Alligator mississippiensis: one gene and its partners. The protein of the gene in region 1 binds, or shares a complex with, the protein of each later gene. Links are inferred from orthologs where the notes say so. Each region holds a gene or a part of one and is shown in the gene's direction. Other genes may lie near its edges. The genes, in order: ubiquitin-conjugating enzyme E2 E2, DET1 and RLIM.

Region 1 (7,813 bases):
CACTCCCCTCTACATCCACCAAGGATAGTCCAGGACAAAACAAGTGGAGGACTCAGAATCAGCACTCAGTTTTTTCATTCTCTACTGGACTCTAGCTGGTGGCCACCCTAATTTACACAAAATAGTTATGGTCCCAATCAACAAGTGGGAATAATCTGAGTATATTAAGAACCAAACTCAAGCCTTTTGCCTCTTCTTGAACACCCCTCACCCACCAGGGCCTTCATCATGTATTTGTGTTAGGGTTTGCAGCCTGCATCCAGAAAGCTTAAGATCTAGCTATAGTGGCCCTGTGTGGCTGAGGACTTCCTTCTAACTGCGGGGATCCCCAGCAGAGAGTGTGTGGGTCAATTCCATTTCCTTTGCAGAGAGCAGACAATCTGCTTCAAAATCTTGATTATGGTCAATTGATGTTTTAAAAATATATTCAGCTTCAGGCTAAAAGGTGAACACCACTGGCTTAGAGTTTCTTCCTTTTGTATCAACTTCCTTCTCAACCATGCATAACTTGTTTAACCCTTGTCCTCTCCAACCTCCTGATTTGTATATGCTATTTTTTCAAACACAGCTAAATATCTGTTAAGCTTCCCCAATAGGATGTAGTCCTACATACAGAGGAGATTAACAGATCTTCTGTATTTTATCCATCTTTGATCAGAAACCCAAGCTTCGATCATGTGACTTTAAAGGTTATGAAGCCATAGCAAAAGAAGGGGAATTGGGAAAAGAAAAGAAGTAAATTACTGACTTATTTTTTTTACCCTCACCTCACGAGGTCTTACTGCCTCAATAGGACAGTGAAGTAGATAGAAAATGTGTGTAATTTGCAGGCCAGTGTTTTAGAATACCTTTGGAAATAGTAAGTTTTATTTTGGGTTTGCAGTTTTTTGTGTCTGTTTGTTGATCCCTGCAGAACGTACAAGAGCAATACATTCCTAAAAACAGTAGCTTGGTCTTGGGATTCAGTTATTAGCAATTTCTGTCTTTAACCGATCATGGTATTATCCTCTGCAATTATATTAAGTTGGGCTTTAAACTAGCACATAAAACAAGCCTCCATTCATGACACTAAGCAGTGATTTATTTCCTACCCTGAAGAAAGTCAGGCTTTTATTAAGGACACGGAAGCAAGTTATTACTTCCCTCCCACCCAGACTTAATATGTTTTATCTTTATTCTTTTGAATCCTGGATAGCAGTGTGCTTGAGAACTGCGAGGCTCGCTGATTCCACATTGTTATTGTTCTAGTTTTTTCTTTTGGTTCCAACTGAATGATAGTTAGTGGAAGCTGCTTCACTAGCAAAGGAGAGGAGGAGAAGCTGAAGTTTCCTGATTTTATAGATGATAGTAGAAGGAGAGAGGTCTGTGGTTGTTTGCATGGGACTTGAATCTATTTTCATGTTTAATGGCTTGAACAAATTGAGATGAACAAATACATCCTTATACTTTGGGAGCTTTTACACTGCTGCAGATCAAATAAAGAAGCCAAGCTAGTAATAACTTGTCTCTATGCTCATAAAATCAGTTTCCTTTAGGATGTTAGGAAAATTCTTTGCTTAAAATAGTTTCTGTCAAGGTACTAGGGAAATAACAATTTTTCTTCTTACTGTAGTTGTCCATTAAGGCTTAGGGCCAGTATTTAGAATTCAGTCATGACTGCTCTGATTTAGGATGTTATATTTTAGCAATCACAATTCATGCAATTAAACTGAATATGTAACATGTTTTCTATTGTAGGTCTTTCCACTAGATCTCTCCCTGCTGCTCCACAGCACTCTATTCTATATGCTGTAGAGCATGCTGGCAGCTATAAAGTAAAATGAATAAGAATCTTGATCTCTGAGTCACTGAAATGCTGTGTCTCAGTGCTTCAGAGATCAGGAGTCTTGCAAATTTCATTTTACAAGTGCCAGCAAACGGAGTAGGGATCAGCCAAGTGGCAACAAAAGCAAAACAAGATCACAGGGAAGGTAGACACGTTTGGAAACAGCATAAAGAAAAAAATTACTTGGAAATGGGGAGAAAGATAAGTATCGTTAGGGGAAGTACAGGATATGTGGCAGGCCAGGTCCTCTAGTCTATTCTGCCTACTTTATGGTACTCCACCAGTGCAAAAAGAAATGACATAGCCAGCACTGGAGGAGGAATCTTTGGTTAGCACAGCACTACCACAGAGGCTCTTGCACCTCCCTTTTAAGCATAGCAGGCACAGGTAGGCAAAAAGGGGCATAGATGACACAGAACCCTTGAGGCCAAAGCCATGGGACTACTCAAGTTGTGTGTGTGTGGTGGGGGGTGTATAGCTGATATAGCTCCTGGATAGCAGAGTAAGGTGAAAACAAAATAGATACACTTGCACTGAGAAGATCTGAGATGGATCAACTATTAAGGTTGAGATATCAAACACAAGCTTGGAAATGCAAACATAAACAATTGGGCACAGTTAATAATCTGTAGACATTTAACTGCATAAACAACAATGCTAAAATTACTAAAAAAGAAAAATCAGAATAGAAAAGACTACATGCACACACAAAGAACACAATTTAGAAGTGCAGTGGAACCCTTAACTCTTTAATTTCTTGACTTAGTGTGCTTGATACTTTGGCCTTACTTGATTTCTAGGGCTCTTTTAAGTCTACAAAGAAGAGGATGGAAATCCTCTTGACTTGCTGTAGAAGGAGAGAGAGAGAGAGAGTGAGTGTGTGTGTGTGTGTGTTGGGAGCAGGGGTCAGTGCTGCTGAATCCCCCTGGTAATACACATTTATCTGAATGTTTTCTAAATGAACTATTCTTAAATGAAGTCCAGGCTGAGGTATCTTTATAGATGTTAATTGAGATACCTGCCCTAATCCAAGGCATTGTTAAATCAAGAGATCTTAACAGAAGTGTGCTTTATGTAATGCAATGGACTCTATTCAAGCCATAAACTCAGAAAAGAAAAAAAAATAGCTATGTCCTTACCTAGAGCATGCACTTACCCAAATTCAATGTAGATAATATTCATTAACAACAGAAACAGGCTGCCCTGGGACTGGACAGAAAGGAGGCCTGAAAATGTTTTTTTCCCCCCGTTGTCTGTTTATTATCATCATCTCTTGCAAAGGGGGGCCCGATACTAAAAGTTTGTCCGGGGCCACCAGGAGTCTAGATATGGTGCAGTCAGTATGTGCATGAGTACAGTCCACTGCACCATATACCTAAAACACGCTCAGATCAGGGGTCTCTGTGTTAGGTAATCTTTAATGGCAGTGTCTGTATTTCTGAAAGCTATAAGCTCTTATACTACAAAACCAAATTTGGTAACTGTGTGTCCAACGATTGAACAGTCATTTAAAACACACATAAGAGAACATGCTGTAACGGGCATATCTCAGCATTAGGAGAGAAATTCATCAGGGGAGTTTTGCTACTGATTTCAAAAGGGCCACGATTTTCCTTGTCTAGGGTCCAGTCTTACGATCGTGAACAAAACCTGGAATACAGTGAGTGGTGCAGAAGGCAGGGCATAGACCTTGTGGGCAAACTACGGAAGATGCTTGTGGAGCAGGAGCTCCGACGCTCACTTCAGCAGAGGCTGCCCTCAGATGAAGGGCGCTGCAATTCACAAAAGCTTGTACGTCTTCCTTAGTTAGCCCATACAGTGCGTCTCTGGCCTGCCTCCCGTCACTGTATTCCAGGTTTTGTTAACAATTGTAAGACAAGTAAAATCCTGGCCCTTTCAAAGTCGGTGGCAAAACTCCCCCAGGATGAAGGTTACTCATAATGTCGAGACATGCCCACGACGCTCTTTTCCCTCGTGTTTTTTGAACGGCTGTTCCAGCACCGGCCTTGGCCGCAGACCCAGCAAGGCTAAACGACCTCTCTCCAATGGCCTTTGCAGTTGGCCTAGCCCAGTTCTTTCAAGAGACCAAAATGCCAAAAAACCACCAGTGGTGTGGGGCAAGGAGGGGCAGATGGTTCCCCAGGGTCTCTATGTGGGTGAGGCTGGGTTCAGTCAAGACACGATCAATGTTATTATCAGGACTGTGACTGATGACAATGATGATGATCCTAGTGACTATAGTAGCAGTGATGCCGCTGGTGCAAACCCCAGGCCCAGCTGGGGGGAGCCCATTCCCGGGGCGGGGGGTGATTCAGGAGTGAGTGAGAGGGGGGGGAGGCCGGCGGGAGAGCGAGGAGCACCCGGGGCTCCCCCAAGGGGCCACCGGCCCGAGGAGTTTTTGTGTAGCCGGGGCAGGAGCGAGGGCTGAGAGGGTGCATGGGGGCACAGGGCAGACCAGCCCGCCCATGCTGGGGGCAGCACCCCGCAGCCGGGTGACTGGGGCTGTTGGGGGAGGCGCGGCGTGTGCGTTCCCCTTTAAGGCGCGCTCCCCCCTCCCCCGCGGCCCCGCTCGCTTGTCACTTTTCCTCCCCCCGCCCCCCCCCCGTGCGTGCGCGCGCGCCGGGCTGCCGTGAGCGCGCACGCGCGTCCTCGAGCACCCGTCCGCCGCCCCTCCCCCCTCCTCGTTGGGCGTCGGGGGCGCGCGCGGCGGCTCCGCGTCTCCTCGGGCGGCGGCGGCGGCGGCAGGAGCCGGAGCCGGAGCCGGAGCCGGAGCCGGAGCGGCCGCGGGGGCAGCGCGGGGCGGGCTCGCGCCTCGGGGAGCGGCCGGAGCCGGAGCCAGACCCGCAGGTAACTGGGACTCCCCTCTCCCCCCCCAGCCCCATCGCTGCCCCCGGAGCCCGGCCCGGCCCGGCCCAGCCCGGCCGCCCCTCCCCCGCGCCTCCATCTCGCGGGGGCGGGGCGGGGCCGCCATGTGGGGGGTCCCCCCCCGGCACGTGGGTGTCCGTGTCCGTGTCCTCTCCGACGGTGTTGCGTTCGTGTGTGTGTCCATCCCCACCCCCCGTATGTGTCCCCCCTTTCCCGTGTCCTTGCCCCCTCCCCCGGGGGTTGGTGTCAGTCCCGAGCCGCATCAGCACCGGAGGGTTTGTCCCTCCCGCAGCCCCCGGCCTGGCGGACTCAACCCTGGTCTCCTCCCGGTCCTCTCTCTCCCCCGTAATGTTTTGATCTTTTTTTGCCCTTTACGGTTTCTAATGAAGATGAAGTGAGGCGGCGGCGGCTGCTCGTGGACCGGCAGAAATGTTCCATTTATCTTTGCTTATAGGAAATTAAGGCCGCTTCAGAGAGACATCATCGCATGCCCCTGGGACCCAGCCGCATGTTGCCAGGATCTCTTCTTACCCTTGGTGATGGCGGTGGGGGCTTATTTCATTTTATTTTATTTTACTTTATTTTTGTCTGTTTGAAAGGACACGGTATTTAGAAATGGAAGAAGTGTTTGCTTTTGGGCGCTTTGTCACTTAAATTTTGTCGAGGGAGTTTGGCGCCAGGTCTCTTATTACCTTCATTTTTTTTTATCTTCACCCCCTTCTTTTGACACGAGGGGAGCATGAGGTTCCCCTTTCTGGATGGGAAATAGGGAATCCAGTGCGGACATGGTGGTACATAGTGGGAGGTTGTTTTAGAGTTTGTTACTGCTTGGGGCAGATTTAGGAATAGGTGGCTAAAAGACCTCTGTGTGTTTGTATGGCATAAGGATGTGTTTGTTAATACTTACACAAGAATCTGTCTCTTTTTTTTTTTTTTCACTGAAATGTTTCCCCACCACACCATCCCCCTGTTGTTGTTCCCCTGAACCTGTTGTCTTGCTGTTTTTTCTTCATAGTTGTGCCCATGTTTCAAAAGTTTGACTCCACCAACCCTTTTAAATCTCCTTCTCATGGTTAAATTGAACTTCCAACCACTTAACATCACTTTCTTTATTTGAATATTTGTGTCTGTGTAGAAGGGGAAAGGGGAAGAGAGGTGAGAAAATAGCCAGATGTCAAATGAGAGATTTAAATATTTCCTTGTTGTAAAAGCTGGCATTACCACTTACAGTAATTATATGCTTTGGGCTACTGTTACAGTGTTTATCTGTTGGGTAGTAACTTGAACTTACAAAGTGAATACAGACGTTTGATAGGAGAATCGTTCACAGGAGGCATTAGGTATAAAGAGTCTTTATTAAACACATTGCTGACTTTTTGGCCAGCATTTATGCAGAACGGGTACATTGTATGGAGAATGCCCTCTCTTTACAATTAGATGTCTTAATGAAAGATCAGTGTCTAAATAAAGGCTATCCCAGATGCTTTAAGAAAAAATTGTATTATATTCTACCTCCATCTGAAAATAAAGTAAAATAGTACATATGGCTACAAAGTCAAAATGTGCCTTTAATAACTGTAACAGTCTTGAAACTGTCAGCATACAGCTGCTTTGTGTTTATCATCTCTAAATCTTCTGTTTCTTTCCCTTAAGATTTGACAACTGGGATGTAAATACCTAAAGATTAACCTGTGTTAAATTGTGAATTACATAAAAGACATTATTATGTCTCTGATGTAGGGAAAAGTTGTTTTTTCAGAAGAATTGCTCATTCTTAACTTCCAGCAATAAAATACTGCCTTGCTTTACATTCTCAAATGCACCACCAAGGCTGTTTTGGGTACTAGTTTTCATAATCAAAACAAAGTAGCGGATGATAAATTAGGGTAATCTCTTCTAGCATTCTTCATCACTACCTCTCAGTATCTTACTCCCTTTAAAGGTTCTTGAACCATCCTATCCCTCCAAAGTTCCTGTTACTTTGATATATAATCTTGTAAATTATGCAGAGATTTCATTCATACTGAAGTCAATTGGATTTAATCCCATGAATAATGACATACAAAATTGGCCCTTCATTGCTTAAATAATGGTCTCCAAAGTAGGTGTTCTTTGACCATTTTTGATTTTGATAAGGCTCCTAACTGAATAGTAGGAGTAAATTCTTTTTTATACAAGAAGCATTAATCTTCTTTTTTTAAATGTTTTTTCTCCCTATAATCCAAACAGTGTTCCTTTTTCTTTCTCTGTCCTCTCTTTCTATACCTGTGTGGGAGATGCCAGGCTTTTATTACAGTGGTACATTAATGTTTAGTTAGGAGCTTTCAATAAAGTTCTTGTGAGTTGTATGTGCAGACTATTGTGCGATTCTTACATTGTCTGTCAAAGAGCCTGAAATCCTTTCTCCTTTGGGGGACAATGGCAGCATAAAATAATTGAGACGTATTTTTCTGTAATAAGTGCATGATCTCTTTATGTAGTTTAAAAGGATAAAGTTACAATATCCGTGGCCTAAAAATTTGGCCTTGTCTGCAACAAAGGTAGTTTTTAAAAAAAGGAAGAATAATAATAAATATAGAAGAACATGGTCATGTCATTTTGGTACAATTTAGATTATAAACTGGGAGGTAAAAAAGCTTTCCAGTGGTGGTTCAGATTTTTAATAAACTCATCTAAATCTTTTTGCCACTACAGCTGGCAATCTCCTAGAAGGGGTGAGGCGCAGCCCTCACTAATGACAGCTTTGAAAGGGATGACAGCTCTAACGGTTGTGCTTTATTTTTCTTCAACTGTTGGTATTTTAAGTTCCATTGATGAAAGTGAAGAAAGAAATGGAAATAGCTCACTATCAAAAGAAGTGTGGAAATACTGTGAGAATTGGATACATGAAATATATCAAATATAATAAAATTAGATTTCTAAATGCTTATTGTTCTTTGACAGTTTTTTATGATGACGAGTCAGTCCTGTGCTCAAAGGACAGGCTTCGGCACACAAATTCCCTTACGTTAATTCCGCCAATATGCTTAACCCCTAGTTTAGAAGTACCATCTCTAGAAAAGGAAAACAGTTCACTTTCAATGCCTTGCTGTTCTCCTAAGGTGTCTGTTAAAAGTACAAACT
Region 2 (8,139 bases), on another chromosome or scaffold:
AGCTGTGAGAGAGGATAGAAGCTGTTGCTGAAACAATTTAACAGCAAATTCCTCTTTTGTTCCATTTTGCTCTGCCTCTCACGCTATTTTGGGAGCAAACGTGTTTGCATAAGAGACACTTTGCAGTAGTTGTTTTATTCCTGTAGATCCATATAGCACTGGCACTTTTTTTCTTCTTTTTTTTTCCTTTTTTTTTTTTTTTTGCAGCTTGCACTGTCTTTGGCAAAGGGATCTGTTGAGACAGAAGCTGCAGCTTGTCAACCTTTCAATTTGTGAGGGACGGGATGGGAGGAGAGGAGAAATGGGGTCATGAACTGTCTTTCCACCTGGCCTCCCTGTTGCAGGTGATGGAGAACAGAGTGGAAATTCTCCCCACACTTTATGAGCCATGACCTCTTTTGTTTGTCCCCCTCCCCATCATGTTGTGAGATGCAAACATGCTTCTTTATGGTCAGGAGGAAATCACGTATTGGGAAGTTGAATCCCATGAAAGACACCCCATAGAAAGGATCACAAAATTATGTCCTTCTGCTTTGAAAACCAAGAGATGATCTGCACCCCAGGGATATTGTCTCCTGAGCCAATTTTCAGCTCTGCAGTCTCTGTTTTCCACTTTTTCATTTGGGCTGTTTCTTTCTTGCGATGAGCCAAAGTTGCCACAGTAAGATCTGGCAAGTACTGCATTAAAAGCACTCGTTCAGCTCTAGGTAGAGATGACCATGTTTAATAGGACTATGCATGTAAAAAGGACAAAGAGATTCTGCTCCCCACTACATCTCCTGTGTGAGATTCCAGCCTTAGGAAAGGCCCTCTAATTTCTACATCTCTTTTTGCTATCTCTACTCCCTACCCCTCAAAAAGCAGTATTTCTGAAGGACAGGACCAAGGTGCTTCTAGAAGTAAGTGGGATCAGGCAATATACTTGTCCCTACACCAGTCAGAGTTGACTGGCTTCCCACCAATGACCACTCTGACCAATTAGTGGCCATTACCTAGAATGGAAGCTGAGGAACACAACACAAGAAATGATGCCAACAAGGCAACAGAGGAAAGCCTTGGATGGAGGAACCTCCTCTGCTATAATCCCCACTAAGGGGGAGGCTTTTTCAGATTATCAGGAACAATCAGATTTAATTGAAAAATGACAAGGAACTGGTGCAAAGCCACCTTCCTGGGGGAAGGTGAGGGATGGCTGAAACACTGCACTGCAATGCTGCAGCTTTACACCAGCTCAGGGAAAGACAGTGGTGAAAAACTGACATAGAGGTTCAGTCCCCTGTACAGATTTTCCCTCTCATTCATACATCTGTGCAAGTCAGAAGTATGTCTTCTCCTCATCTCTTGACAACACTTTTGTCATCTCTTGTCATGAATAGAAAGGGTTCCCAAAATGAATGATCCATGCTGCTGAGCTGTTACTTTTCTACCATTTTAACCTGTTGGGCTGAGAGGCCTGGTACATCTAGGTAGGAGCCAAGACTGACAATAAATCCAAGCAGAGTGGTTAATTATGAACAGCCCCCCAGCATGAGAAAAGATGTCTTACTACAATGGGAATTAGATTCTGCCCCTGTGTTGCAAGGCAAACTGTGAATCCCAGGAAAATATCAGTTCAGTTCCTTCTGGACAAGGGTTCAGATCAGAAAAGTTTTCCTTGTTGGTACCCCAGCACAGAGACCAAGGAGGCCCTAGAGATGAACTCTCTTGTGCCTTTGAAATTCCTCTTTGCTGGAGGAGCTGATGTGTGGGGAAGTAAGTGCATACTTGCTATTGCCTGCAGTGAGGGCCTGCACAGGCATCAGTCTCCAGAGCAGCTGTACTTGTCACCAGCCCAACATTCACATTGAAGATGAATAACCCACTGGGTTATGCAGTGTCCTGATAGCAAGAGTTGAGCAGTATCCACCAGGGACTGGTTCCATGTGCAGCTCAAGACATTATTTCCATCATGTGTAATTGTCAATGTGGAGGTCTGTGGTTGAATTAAACACTCAATACACAACACAGATGTTGCTGAGACTCCTGGTGAGATGAGACAGAGAATTTCTAAATACTGAAGAAAAGCAGGGGCAAGATTGTCAGGCTGATGATGGTTCAGGCCCCCGCCCCCCCCCTCCCCCCTGCTGTGGGCCTGGATGAGGAGGCCAGTCCATGTGATTTCCTTCTTAGAATGAGACCTGCCTCCATAGCACAGATATGGTGAGCTTGGTCATCACAGGATGTGAAGGTGGCATTGCATTGGGTTCATTGGAAAGTCAGGTTGGAAGGGACCTCAAGCGGTGACATCCAGCCCAGCCCCCTGCTTAAGCAAACTGGCCCAGCCAAGGGTCTGTCCAGCCTGGCCTTGGAAACATTCAGGGATGGAGGTTCGACAACATTTCTAGGCTGATCAGAAGTGGGTGGGGACAATCCCTCTTTGATTCCTGCTCCACCTAAGATTTAAAACCAACTACCTGGGAGGGAGAGCAGCACATTTCTATTCAGTCAGTGCTGAGAGTCCGTTGACTTCATGCCTTATTGTCATCTCCTGAATTTCTGCTAATTTTTCTCCACTCCACAGCTGGTTACGACCCTCTCTCCTTTTTAATGGTCTAGATGTTCCACTATGCACACTATCCTTTCTTTTGCAGTGTTGCTGTCTGCCAGCACTTCCTGGGAATGATTGTGTAACAGTGAGGTTGTTGCTGTGATGGTCCAGAAATGTGAGAGGCAGGGATTTCTTAGGGCAATATCTTTTATTGGACCGACTATGTAGTACTCTGAAGTTCTCATAGTTGTGTTGCATACACGGAGTTGTGTGTGTTACCTAGAGGACTGCAGCTGATGAGTCCCCTTAGAATGATGTTATGTTCCTTGCAAAGGCTTAAGAATATGTCACTGTTGTTCCAAATTTCTTCTGCATAGTTGTGCTGTATATAGTTGTGTATGACTGCGTTTCTTGCACAGAATCTGCAATCCTCCAGGTATGGCCTGAAATCTTGTGGTTGCCACAGGAAACACTACAATGACACATTGAAAGCAGACCTCAAGAAAACAGATGCAATGTCAAAACCTGGGAGGAGTTGGCTACCAACCAACTCCAGTGGCGCCGCAACCTCAACCAAGCAGCAGCTTGTTTTGAGGTAAAGCATCTCATCCTTGAAGCAGAGAAGAGAGAATGGAGGAAGGAAAAGGAGAGAAATCCTGGCCTGTGGCCTACTCTCCCCTGCAAAAAGATCTTCACCTTCTGTGGACAGGTCTGTGGCTCAAGGTTTGGACTCTTAGGTCACCTCAAGACTCATCAGTGAGTTGTGGTAGGGAACATCCTCCAATTGAGGGGTTGCTGCTACCAACACATAGGAACATAACATCAGGCCAAGGTGACTCATAGATTAAATAGATTTTTAGGGTCAGAAGGGACCTCAGTACAGTAGATCATCAAGTCCGACCCCCTGCCCTGGGCAGGAAAGAGCGCTGGGGTCAGATGACTCCAGCCAGGTGCTTCTCCAGTCTCCTCTTAAAGACCTCCAAGGTAGGGGAGACTCACCATCTGCAATCCTCCAGCCAACATACACAACTTCACATGTGCAACTCTGGAGTACAACACAGTTGGTCCAATAAAAGATATCACCCTAAGAAACCCTTGCCTTCCTCAGAATGGCTCTTTCACAGCCCGGCAGCCCATTTTCAGCTCTCGATAAAACCCTGAACTCAGGCACAATCGCATGAACCCAGGTGTAGAAATGACTGATGAGGAAGTCCCAGAGACCCATGGAGGCACTCAAGGAGGTGAGAGTTTATTCTAGAAATTGGAACAAGAGACATGCAGGGGGTTGTAACAAACAAAAACATTCTTCATTTGGAGGCAAGTCATCAGGGGAAAGTGCTGACAGCAAACCCCAAAGTCAGTTCAGACTCCCTGAAAGTGACTTGGGCTTGGCGTATGCTACATCAATTATTTGATCTAATAAAATAATTCATAGATTTCATAGACATTAGGGATAGAAGGGGCTTTGAGAGATCATTTGGTGCAGCCCCCTGCCCAAGGGGCAGGAAGTCAGCTGGGGTCAGATCACCCCATCAAGACAATCAATCATCCAGGCATTTCTTAAATTATTGATCTAATAAAATTATTTGATTTGACAATTATTTGATCTAAGAAAATAAAATAAGATAAAAATTACCCAACAAAACTTGTCTGTCAACTATGACTGTCCATTTCTGAACACTTTGATCACACAAGGGTTGACACGATGCTACAACTGACTTGGCATAGGCTGCATCCATGAGCCGCCTCAACCATTATTTGATCTAATCCAATAAAATAAGAAAAGAAAATAAGAAAAATGAGTTGGTTTAATAGAAGAGATCGTACTGATCCAAAGAAACCTGTCTGTCAACCATGACTGTCCATTTCTGAACACTTTGATCACACAAGGGTTGACACGATGCTACAACTGACTTGGCATAGGCGGCACCCATGAGCATTATTTGATCTAATCCAATAGAGCAAGAAAAATGAGTGGATCTAATAAAAGAGATCGCATTGGCCCAAAGAAACGTGTCTGTCAACCACGACTGCATTCCTGAACACCTTGAAGGGTTGACACGATGCGAGCATCCCCGCACTCACCAACAGCCCTCAGCGCCGCCTCCGCCCGCCAGGGGCCGCTGCTGCCGCAGAGCGCGAGGGGACACTCTACCCTGCCCATCCCCCCTGCGCGCCGCGTCCTCTATGGTCTCGGGGGGTCACTTCCGGGCCGCTCTGGCCCTGCGCAGTCGTTCGCAGCGGCGCCGTGGCGGAAAGATGGCGGCCGCCATGGCGTGAGGGGCCGCGGGAGCCGGGCCGGGCCGGGCCCCGCATGGAGGTCGAGGCGCCGACGCTGCGGCCGCGCCGCATCCAGAACCAGAACGTGATCCACCGGCTGGAGCGGCGGCGCCTGAGCTCGGGCCGCGCGGGGACGCACTGGCACCAGGTGCGCGTCTTCCACCAGAACGTCTTCCCCAACTTCACGGTGGTGAACGTGGAGAAGCCGCCCTGCTTCCTGCGCAAGTTCTCGCCCGACGGCCGCTACTTCATCGCCTTCTCGTCCGACCAGACCTCGCTGGAGATCTACGAGTACCAGGGCTGCCAGGCGGCCGAGGACCTGCTGCAGGGCTACGAGGGCGAGATCCTGGCCAACGGCAACGACCAGCGCTCGGTCAACCTGCGCGGGCGGCTCTTCGAGCGCTTCTTCGTGCTGCTGCACATCACCAACGTGGCGTCCAACGGCGAGCACCTGAACCGCGAGTGCAGCCTCTTCACGGACGACTGCCGCTACGTCATCGTGGGCTCGGCCGCCTACCTGCCCGAGGAGCCGCACCCGCCCTTCTTCGAGGTGTACCGCAACAGCGAGTCGGTGACGCCCAACCCCCGGTCGCCCTTGGAGGATTATTCCCTGCACATCATCGACCTGCACACAGGCCGGCTGTGTGACACGAGGACCTTCAAGTGCGACAAGGTCATCCTGTCTCACAACCAGGGGCTCTACCTCTACAAGAACATCCTGGCCATCCTCTCCGTGCAGCAGCAGACCATCCACGTCTTTCAGGTGACGCCCGAGGGGACCTTCATCGACGTGCGGACCATCGGGCGCTTCTGCTACGAGGACGATCTCCTGACTCTGTCGGCCGTGTATCCGGAGGTGCAGCGGGACACGCAGACGGGGATGGCGAACCCCTACAAAGAACCCTTCATCAACTCGCTGAAGCACCGGCTCTTGGTTTACCTGTGGAGGAGAGCGGAGCAGGATGGCAGCGCGATGGCCAAGAGGAGGTTCTTCCAGTACTTTGATCAGTTGAGGCAGCTCCGCATGTGGAAGATGCAGCTGTTAGATGAGAACCACCTGTTTATCAAATATACGAGTGAAGATGTGGTCACCTTGCGGGTGACAGACCCCTCCCAGGTAGGGCCCGTCCTCTCAACTGGGCAGTTACAAAAATAAAAACTGTCGGCTGCATTTCTGGTCCAAACGCTTGTTTCAGACTGAGTGGTAAAAAGGGAGGCTTGATTAGGGATAATTACGTAACTTGGATCCTCTTCTTGAAGATATTGAATGGTGCCTTTGGTATTTAATCACCGTGGTATTTCTTGCTGTTCATGATCTCTCAGATGCCGTGTAGACATTAGAAAAGCGTGCCGTTCATTATTCCTATTTCCCAGCAAACTGAGATCGTTCTGTGTTCTGCTTTGGGCGCGTTGTCTAGTTTGTTGTCACATTGTGGTAGCATTAGAGGTTTTAATCTGTATTGTGGTCTTACTATTTTGGGTATTTTAACTACCCAAAATGAAAGGATCTATACTGTGAACAATGGTTTTAGTTTTAAATGTACCAAATGATGAGACTGCTATTTTCCTTTCACAGACCCCTCTACCCTTTAAAATTCTTGGTTAAGAATTACTTCATGCCAGTCATCCGAAAAATAAATAAATTAATGACATCCATTGCAGCCCTAAATACTGCACCTTCTTTCCACCATGGTATCTACACCTTTTGGTATCCAATCCCTGTTTCTGCTGCCAAAACTGTACATGTAGTTTGTCTTTAAAAATAGCTTCTTGTATCAGTCTCTTCAGTCCTCAGATAATCTTATTCTTGCCCCCTCTCCCATTCCCACCAGTTTGTTTCTTCTAAGGCAATGCCAGAACTGAACAGTGGTTCAGAGGCAGTAATGCAAAGTAATATAACAAATAGACCATTTGAGAGGTCTACCACAATTTAGCCCTGCACCCTCCTGGAGTGCTGCTCTGACCCCTTCCCCTGCCTGATCTGCTGCTCTGCTTTCTTTTCTCTGACCTGTGCTCCCTGCTGGACCTGCTGCTCTGCTTTCTGCTCCCTGCCCTAGCTGCCCCTTTGCTGCCTGTCTTCTTGGTCTGTGGCATGCCACATATAGAGGCTGCCTTGTACCCTTTGTAGCACACATGGCACACTTTTGCCATTCCTGGAATAGACTATTAACTTTCTTACTCTGTGATGTACTTCTGCACATACCACCCCACGCTTTTTTTTAGCTTCCATAGTCTGACTCCACCCAATGTACTGCCAACTACAGTTTGTAACTCGTGGACTATTTACTGACCTGGAAGTCGTTTTAGCAAAGAAATAAGCTTGTCACTAAGCTTCGGCTAATCTCTGTGGTACCCACAAAACATCCCCCCACACTTTTACCTATCATTTCTGTCCCCGTGTCCCCCCCCCGTCTTTGTTTCAATCCATTTGAAGCCAATTCAAGATTACTTAAAAAAAAGACTAAATGACATAATTCCCTTCTCTTTCTTATTTTTAATTCCGATACATTAAAAGAAATGTAAGGATTCTGGCAAGACTTCCTTACAAATATTTCATGCTGCTTATTGTTCACTGTTTTGTTTTCTGTGGAAGTTTAGTGGTAGTTTCCCCCTTGATCTTTATGTTGTTCATTTACTAGGACTAGAAGCTATCGTGAAGGGATAGTGGTTGTCTGTATGCCATATTAATCAGTTGCGGGGTTGCAACTAATGGTGTGCACAGTGGTTTTAACTGTTGAGTTCTTGAGGGCTGAGTTTGTTTTGCAGATGCAATGTTTGAAGTATTTACCAGATATGGTGTCATGTATTCTAGGGATATACCCAGACAGGGAGTCTTTGACTAAATGATTCACAGTGAGGTGCTCCTGAGTCTCTTCTACTAGTCCAGGAGTTTTGAGGATGTTGGTGACCCAAAAGAACTTATGCTGCCCTGGCTAGGTGAATGCTATGGACTCTCTTGGATTGATCTTCCTTGGTTCCCCAGGCATTTGTGACTGGGTTGGGTCACAACCCAGTCACAAATGCCTGGGGAACCAGGCCTCTCAGACTTCATAGCTGATTCAGACTGGGGCTGGTTTGCAGTGTTAGATGCAGGTAGAACACTAGACTGTTCCTTCAGGAGGTGCAGTCAGTTTCTTATTTCTTTCTGGGTAAATTCTGGCTGTCCAATCACTTGAGCTGCTGAGGTAACCAGCTGAGTTCTATGTAAAAGCACTGGTGGCAAGGGCTTCCCTTTCCACAGAGCGGTTGGCTACAAGAGTGGTTCTTGACCTTTTTCCTAACGGGACCCAGGTGCAAAGATCCATGGCCTGTCCTGACCCATACCCCCCTGG
Region 3 (7,708 bases), on another chromosome or scaffold:
AAGTCGTTCTTCTTCTGTAGATAGTAAAATATTGAACAATGGTGGATATTCACTAATTGCTAGCATAAGCTTGCTGTACTTATGCTTATGTCTGGTGGTAGAAACATAGCTAGTCTTTTGTTCTGGAATTTGTTGAGTGTGATTGTTGTGTGACCACTAAAATCTTGGAGTGGGAATGGCAATTAAGCTTTTACTGTAGTTAATATATCTGAGTGTTCAGCAGCTTAAAAAATACACCTGTTTAAGTAAAGTCTCTGTCCAGACTCTTGTTTCCAGCGAACTTTAGACGCATCTTGCTGTGCTTCCATAAAAATGTTCAGTTTTATTACTGGATATATCAACTAAAGTTGGCTATAATCAACAGATCTGCACTTACTACTAAAAGACATGAGCCCCTGCAGTCTTTTGTGTCCTCTGTTGACAGCTCTTGGCTGACGGAAGAAAGGAAATTCTGTATTATACTGAGGTAAGAACAAAATCTCACTTGGAGTTTAAAGCAATATGAGCAGTGTAGATAATATGGCTACATCTATATTTTGGAAGCCATATGTAACATAATAGGACAGGGGCGGGCAATTATTTCGGGCGCAGGGCCACTTACTGAGTTTTGGCAAGCCATCAAGGGCTGCGTGACAGGCAGCCGGGGTAGATGAATATTAATTTTCTAAATTGTTAGGGGCCCTGTGGGCCAGATAGAATGGCCTGGCAGGCCACACCCCTGTAATAGGATGTCACCAATGATGCCTGCCTTAACATATTGGCTAACATGGTATATTTTGCCCTTATGTCATTTTTGCCCTACAGTAGCATGCTGAAAAATTGACAACAGCCTTAAAATATTTTCCATTTGTAGACTTCACACTTCAGGACTATTGTGAGTGGAGCGCATATTCTGGGGCTTGTAACTCTCAGAGATTTAACTGTCTAGCAGTTGTTTTTGTGAAACTGTAGTATGAGAACATGTTTGTAGTGCTGTGCGAATGCCACCACTCTACATCCCATTCTGACAAGGCAGGAAGGAGCTATGCTGTCTTTGTAGTACTTCTGGTGTTTTGTAACTGGCATCTAGTATTATAGGGTTTGGAGAGAGAAGCCATGTATCCCATGGAGGAAAGGAAGGACCTCAAGGAAATGAAAAGTACCAGAGAATGGAGCAAGGACAGGGGAATGAACGCTATCTAAGTAGAAAGTTTATTCTATTCCTTTAAGTGGTCATTCTTTGCTGCTTCTTCCCTTGCAGTTATTAAATATAGTGACAAATTGCTCATTTTGAGACATCTGGAGATTAGAGTGGGGCCTTGGACGTTTTGGCTTTTATGCATCAGTGTAGCTTCCCCACTGAGCTTCACTTGCAGAAGCCCCTAATGTAGACTTGCTGCCTCTATATTAGACCTATGGTGTCTACCCTGTTTTGAGAGTGAGGTATGCCACACTAGTGCAGAATTAATACCAGGTGTTTGCAGTAGTGAAGTATAGTGTGGTGGTAGGTACACCAATATAAAAATTTGTAGCAGGCAGCCCTATGTTTAACTGAATGCTCAGATTCACCACTGGTTCCTTCTTCCGGTAATGACATCTTCCTAGGCCAACATGAAACTGTGCAGATGAAAAGGTAAGAAGATGGATTAATGAAAGGAAGAGGACTGAGGAAGGAAAACCCAGTCCAAAATGCAAGCTGGGGAAAAAATAAGGTTGAAAATATTGCCTAAGAGTAATCTTTGACTGTTTTCCGTAGTGTTTATATATTTTAATACACTCGAGTCCACTTTCTTGGCCTATTAAATGATTGTCTCACCTCACTTCTGTTGATGGGACACTGTTCTTGGTCAGGCTTCTGAAACGGAAAAGGCCAGTGTTTTCCATTGGATAATCAAAGCGTGCTCTTAGTCAGAATGAAAATGATGAAGCATTAATAGTTAACGCAGCGTCTTTCTTGAAAGAATGTGTACTTGTCATGGGATTATAGTATCACATGCGTCTTTCAGCATATTGTTTGTTCCTTTTGTTTTATAATTGGGTTTTAGAGATAAGAAACTTTCTTTTCTACCGACCTTTCCTTTGCTGTGTGATAGATCCACATAAATGGAGGAAACTAGCTCTAGAGTTGGAGTTCATTATTCAGTAACAGCTGTCAAATGCATAATGAAAAACTAAAAAAGTATTTTTCTCAACTTTGTACTTAAATGTTAATTTTAACTATAGCAGCCTACATATTTAGGTGTCTCCGAGTTGACAACCTCTTTAACCAAGATTTGTTTAGTACAAAATCTTTTCTAGCACTGTCAAGAGTTCTACACAAACTTAAAAAAGCTACTGTAATAGACAAAGCATAGGTTAACCCCTGTTCTGTATTACTTGTGTGAATTTTGAAGCTCACACTCATCCTTATGAGCTGATCCCAATATATGAGGGTATTAACAGTTACTTAAAATGTACAGAATAGCACACATTTCTCACTTTTCAATGCGTTTGATGGTACGAGTTTTTGGACTGCATCTATGTTTCTCAACAGAGTGACATCAAATCAACTTTCACTTCACACATATAGGAGCCTTCTGTTGGCTACTTTTGCCTGTCAGAGGTGAAAGTATTAGCAAATGCAATTGGTATTTGTGGGTGTCTTCCATTTTGGAAAATAAATACAATACTAAATAATACAAATATGAAAAAAATCTATGCTTTGTATTATGTTAGTGGCAGCAAAGGAACTTGCATGTTAGTTAATAGGATGACTAAAATAAAAACAGGGTTATAGAATCATCATTTTAAAAGCCAAAGTAGAGAATATATATAGTGTGACTGACTTTGTAGTTCTTGAGCCTCATACAGTGGTAGAATGCTGGATTTTATAGTGTTTCTTTCTGTGCTTAAAGCTCTAAAGGTGATGTTACTTTGTGAGTTGCAGTGCACTGGCAGCCACTGAAATTACACAGGCAGAGTGGTCTTGGAGGTGACGCAACACTTCTTATTTGCAGAAGTGCCGGCATAAACTGGGCAGTGTCTGACTTGCCAGCTGTGCTGAGAAACCAAAAAAAGTGTCAGTTCTGTGCACTAGACAGCTGCTAAAGCATCTTATTTGGAAGTTCTCCAGCAAAAGGCAGAAAGTGAAATGCTTTTTTCTTCCAATATTTTCACATAGCTTTAGCTGTTATTTAATAAGAGGGAATATTCATGGTGGCAGTGGAGCATTTTACCACATGGAAAGCTAGCTAGATAACCAGCTCTGTGAGTAATTGCAGATTCTAGCACTTTATGCGGTGGATGGTGAGGCGCATGTATTAAGGAAAACCAGTTATTGTCGAGGTTTCATTTGAATGCATTTGCAAGGGTTTAAGGTTACCATTGTTTCCTGATTTTGTTCGTCCTTTGCTTTTAATACTGATCAGATGAAGACATTACTCTAATGTTGAAAGATGTGATGAAGGTACTTGTCTTACTGAAATAGTAAGAGGGAGACAGGAAGACATTTACTTGATTATTGCTGGCAATATGTCTGGCATACAAGTTTCTTTTTGTCCTCTGAATTCTTGTCATCAAAATTTACTGGTTGCAGACTGGCTTCTAGTGCATCTAAGTTATACTCTCGATACTGGATGCTGGAATTAATTTCTAACCTTTTCCTCTCTTGAGAAAACTAAGGTCTTGCTATCACAGACAAAATGTTTTCTGGAACTCTCAGTGTATTGTGCTTTTATTCAGCTTCTTGGCCCATATTTCTGCCAAATATATCTGGCTGTTGGGGGATCGATGTTACTCTTACTTGGCTGGAAGGCCTGACATGAGGCACTTCCTTCCCTTAAGAATAACTCTGGGAGAATAAAACCTGTAAAACTTGTCTTCTAGTGTAATGTAAAGTTGGATTCAGTGACAACTTGCATCCTTTACAGATTGTCTGAATACATCCTTTAGACTTCTCTAAATTGTGGTTTGTGATTTGCCAAGGAATAGCAGCTCTGAGGATGTATGTGCTAGAACAGGGGTGGGCAAAATGTGGCTTGCGGGCTGGATGCAGCCCACCAGGCCATTCTATCTGGCCCGCAGGGCCCCTAAAAAAAAATTTAGAAAATATTTATCTACCCCTGGCTGTCTGTCACGCGGCCCTCAATGGCTTGCCAAAACTCAGTAAGCGGCCCTCTTCCTGAAATAATTGCCTGCCCCTGTGCTAGAAAAATAGATTTAGACTAGGGGTAAGCAATGTTTTTTGGCCAGAGTGCCAAAAAATCCACCATGTCTACCTTGGAAGGTGGCGGAGTGCCGGCATGTCAGAAAAACAAAATGGGGAGGGTGGTATATGGCAGGACTCGCTGCATAGTAGTATATTTAATAATCATAAATGTTGCCTTTATTGTTGTGTATTCCTTTTTTGTTGAGCATGTTGCAATGAGAGAGAAAAAAAGAGACAAGAGGAAGAGGAGAGAGAGAGAGAGAAAGAAAAAGAAGAGCAGAGAGAGAACCAGACACATGCACACAGAAAACCATGTGCACAAACACAGAGCCAGAACACACCCAGAATGGACACATGCATATATGCATCCAGAACTAGACACGTGTGTGCGCGCACAGATGCAGGACCAGACCAAGGCAGACATACGCACAGAACCAGATACGTGGGCACACGGAGCTGGGCTCCTCTGTCACTGGACAAAGTCAGCTCAGAGGCACACGTACGCCTGCTGGTATGGAGCTAATGCCGGAGCCCAGAGCAGATGTTTGCAGCCTTCCGGCTGCAGCCAGCCAGGGTTCTTGGTAGCTGCTGTCAACCACGGCAGAGCTTGTAGCCACCCAGCTGCCTCCTGGGAGCAGCCTGGGCTTTGTGGCTGGCAGCAGCTGCCTAGAGCCCAGGCCGGTGGTGGCGTGCTGAGCAAAATGGCCTTATGTGCCATGCTTGGCACACGTGCCAGGGGTTGCTGACCCCTGGTTTAGACCTTTCGTGCCTGAGCAACATTGAATATATAAAAGGATGGACCTGAGGTTATGGCCTATAGTTTTCATGCAGCTTTTCATTGTCGAGATGTGCAGTTCTGCTGAAAGTTCTATGTGGTACTGCACTTCTTGATGTTCTTCTCTGGAGAAGAGACGACTGAGTGGGGATTTGGTAATAGTCTTCATATACCTGAAGGGCAATTATAGAGAGGATGGAGATAGGTTTGTCTCTATTGCTGTAAGAGACGGGTCTAGGAGAAATAGCTTTAGGCTGCAGCAGAAGAAATTGTGGTTGGAGATTACGAGAAACTTCCAGACTATACGATTAGTTAAGTATTGGAGCAAGCTATCTAGAAGTTGTGGAATCTCCATCGATAGAAATTTTTAGGAGCAAGTTAGACACTTGCCTGGGATAGTTTAGTCACGGAGGGTCTTGCTGGGAGCATGAGGCTAGATTACATGACCTTCTGAGATCCCTTTTAGTTCAACAGTCTTACGTTATTGCGTCCAAAAAAGAGAGACTGATTTTTCAAAACAATTTAAATGCTAATCCCTGTGGTCATACAGGATATCCTCATAACTGGGACTTCTAGAAAAATAAAATTCCATGTTTTATGTTTAAGATGCTCAGTTTAAGTGAATGTCCAGATCAGGAACAAGTAAATCATTCCTCTAAAAGTATCATTAAGTTTTATAGGTTACCATAACTTACATGTACCCATGGTTTAAAAATATTGTTTTTCTTTTTTCAGATTCTCTTCCACTCTTTCATCAACATGGAAAGCTCAGATTCTAATGATAAAGGAAATATTGATCAATCAGAAGCTCAGCGTCGTAGTCAGCTGGATCGATTAGATCGGGAAGAAGCTTTCTATCAGTTTGTCAATAACCTGAGTGACGAGGAGTACAGGCTTATGAGGGATAACAATTTGCTAGGAACTCCAGGTATATCAGAATACATATTTGTATATTAAAGTTTTAATGTTACCAGACTAATTTTAATGACCTGTTTTTTTTTCTTGCTGCTGTGCCATTAAATTCCCCCCCCCGGTATTCTTCCAACTACAATTGTATGCCAGCGTAAGAGAGTAGCTCTCTACTTATCTGAACGTACAGTATGTCTTTTCTAGAAAGGCAATACATATAATTTAGCGCTAACTAGGATGAAATTGAGTTAACAGAAGCAGAGTTTATTTGCTTTGTTTATGTTTACTCAGCTTAAAAAAGGACATCCAAAGTTTGTCTGAGGCCTGTTCTGGTATTGGCCTTGTGTATGGGAGAAGGTTGCACCAGCTTAATGAAGAGTACAGATTTTAATGGCAAACTAGCTAAACTGGTGATGGCCTTTGTGAGGAGTGTATTTCAGTTTAGCTTATTCTTGTTAGAAATCATCTTGGAGAAACAAAAATAAGCCACTTGAAAAGATTAAATAAGTTTGTCCATCCAGGAGCTTGCACTGGTTTACCTGAATTGCTATTAAAACTTGCAAGATGGCTTTTTTAATGCATTCCTAATAGAGGTAAGCTAAATTTGAAATGAGCCAGTCCAAGAAAAATATGCCAACACATGTTGGTAATAAATCAGTTAAAAGTAATACCTCTTATAGTTGTCTCATATAGGCAGAATCTTAATTGGTTTGGAATGGAGAAGACTGATGAGATTTTTCTTAGAGATTACAGGAAAAAGCTTTTCTCAATTTTGTTCTAAATAGTTGGTAACTGTATTTTGGATGCTGCAGTTGTAGCTGGTCTTACCTGTGAGCAAGGATGCTTTGGGGGGTTCCACAAGCTGCCCTCTGGCTAAATTTCTAGAAGTCAGTGAAGAATATTTATAAGCAGTTAGCTTTTTGTTAAAAGAATATTCACAATCTCTCTGAACTGCAGTCTTAAGACTGTTTAAGATGTACATAATTCCTTCCTTATAGAGATTATTTGGACATACATATATATTGGGAAATCTTTCTTTGTTTCTTAAGGTGAAATTACTGAAGAAGAGTTGCTGAGAAGGCTACACCAAATTAAAGAAGGTCCACCACAGCAAAACAGTGATGAGAATAGAGGTATATACAGTATTTGTGAAAACTCTTAACTTTAGCACCTAATACGGACCTTAACTTGAGTGCAGGAGTGGAACAAGTTAAGCCTAGGCAGGTGCAAGGTGAGCTTTGTTTAAAAATTAAGTGAACGTTCTATTTGACACAACCTGCAAAGATCAGTTTTGGACAGATTTCAAGTATGGCATCTATTACTAGCGCCACAATAAGATTTCTTCTACGTTTCTTTAGTTGACTTTTTTTTTTGTTCAAATTTCTTTGCATTCTGTTCCCTTCTGAGATATACCCATAAGTCCCTTGTTTTCCCACCTTCACTCCTTTTGCTTTTGTTATCCCTCTACAAAGGAGAAATACACACAGTTCCCATTAGAGCAGTGCTTCCCAAACTTCTCCTCAGCATGACTGCATTTTCTCAGCATGACCCTATTTCCTTAGCCTCTCACTCCAAGCCACAGCCCTCCACCCCATCTGCTGATGTTGTGACTCCATTTGGGATCGTGACCCACAGTTTGGGAACTGCTGCATTAGAGCCTGTGACTTGTTTGTTTGTTTGTTTTCTAGCCAGCTCATCTCACTAGGTATCATAGATTTCATAGATATTAGAGCTGGAAGGGACCTTGGAAGATTATAGAGTCCAGCCCCCCGCCCTAGGGATCATAGGATCCCAGCAAGATAAACATCCAAATGTCTCTTGAAGGCATTCAAAGTAGGTGCTTGAACCACCTCTGGCTC

The links.
Region 2: the proteins of ubiquitin-conjugating enzyme E2 E2 (region 1) and DET1 are in contact, whole or in part, in a cryo-EM structure (PDB 9BJZ), measured with the Homo sapiens proteins. The link is inferred for Alligator mississippiensis from reciprocal best matches to the Homo sapiens genes UBE2E2 and DET1. Residues at the interface, in NP_001357154.1 of Homo sapiens: Ala77, Gly78, Pro79, Lys80, Gly81, Arg88, Ser89, Thr90, Gly101, Val103, Phe105, Phe123, Arg124, Thr125, Arg126, Ser134, Gln135, Gly136, Gln194, Trp195, Arg198, Tyr199, Ala200, Thr201; in NP_001137546.1 of Homo sapiens: Arg258, Phe259, Tyr261, Asp264, Thr267, Val268, Phe272, Glu274, Asp289, Pro290, Phe291, Ile292, His297, Arg298, Leu300, Val301, Trp304, Arg305, Phe319, Phe320, Gln321, Phe323, Asp324, Arg327.
Region 3: the proteins of ubiquitin-conjugating enzyme E2 E2 (region 1) and RLIM are in contact, whole or in part, in a crystal structure (PDB 6W9A), measured with the Homo sapiens proteins. The link is inferred for Alligator mississippiensis from reciprocal best matches to the Homo sapiens genes UBE2E2 and RLIM. Residues at the interface, in NP_001357154.1 of Homo sapiens: Lys52, Thr55, Lys58, Arg59, Lys62, Pro112, Asp113, Pro115, Phe116, Ile142, Asn146, Trp147, Ser148, Pro149, Ala150, Leu151, Thr152; in NP_057204.2 of Homo sapiens: Ser571, Val572, Cys573, Ile574, Thr575, Cys596, Arg599, Trp600, Pro608, Ile609, Arg611.

What each region holds. Positions count from the first base shown.
Region 1 is NC_081828.1:148,516,369-148,524,181, reverse strand, and holds the start of ubiquitin-conjugating enzyme E2 E2, read left to right. Parts: upstream 1-4,532; 5' UTR 4,533-4,672; intron 4,673-5,128; exon of another isoform or gene 5,129-5,144; 5' UTR 5,145-5,226; intron 5,227-7,813.
Region 2 is NC_081834.1:14,196,932-14,205,070, reverse strand, and holds the start of DET1 (DET1 homolog), read left to right. Parts: upstream 1-4,753; 5' UTR 4,754-4,841; coding exon 4,842-5,924; intron 5,925-8,139. UniProt on the Homo sapiens protein: Component of the E3 ubiquitin ligase DCX DET1-COP1 complex, which is required for ubiquitination and subsequent degradation of target proteins. The complex is involved in JUN ubiquitination and degradation.
Region 3 is NC_081831.1:65,171,601-65,179,308, reverse strand, and holds the start of RLIM (E3 ubiquitin-protein ligase RLIM), read left to right. Parts: upstream 1-4,386; 5' UTR 4,387-4,511; coding exon 4,512-4,676; intron 4,677-5,675; coding exon 5,676-5,868; intron 5,869-6,898; coding exon 6,899-6,982; intron 6,983-7,708. UniProt on the Homo sapiens protein: E3 ubiquitin-protein ligase.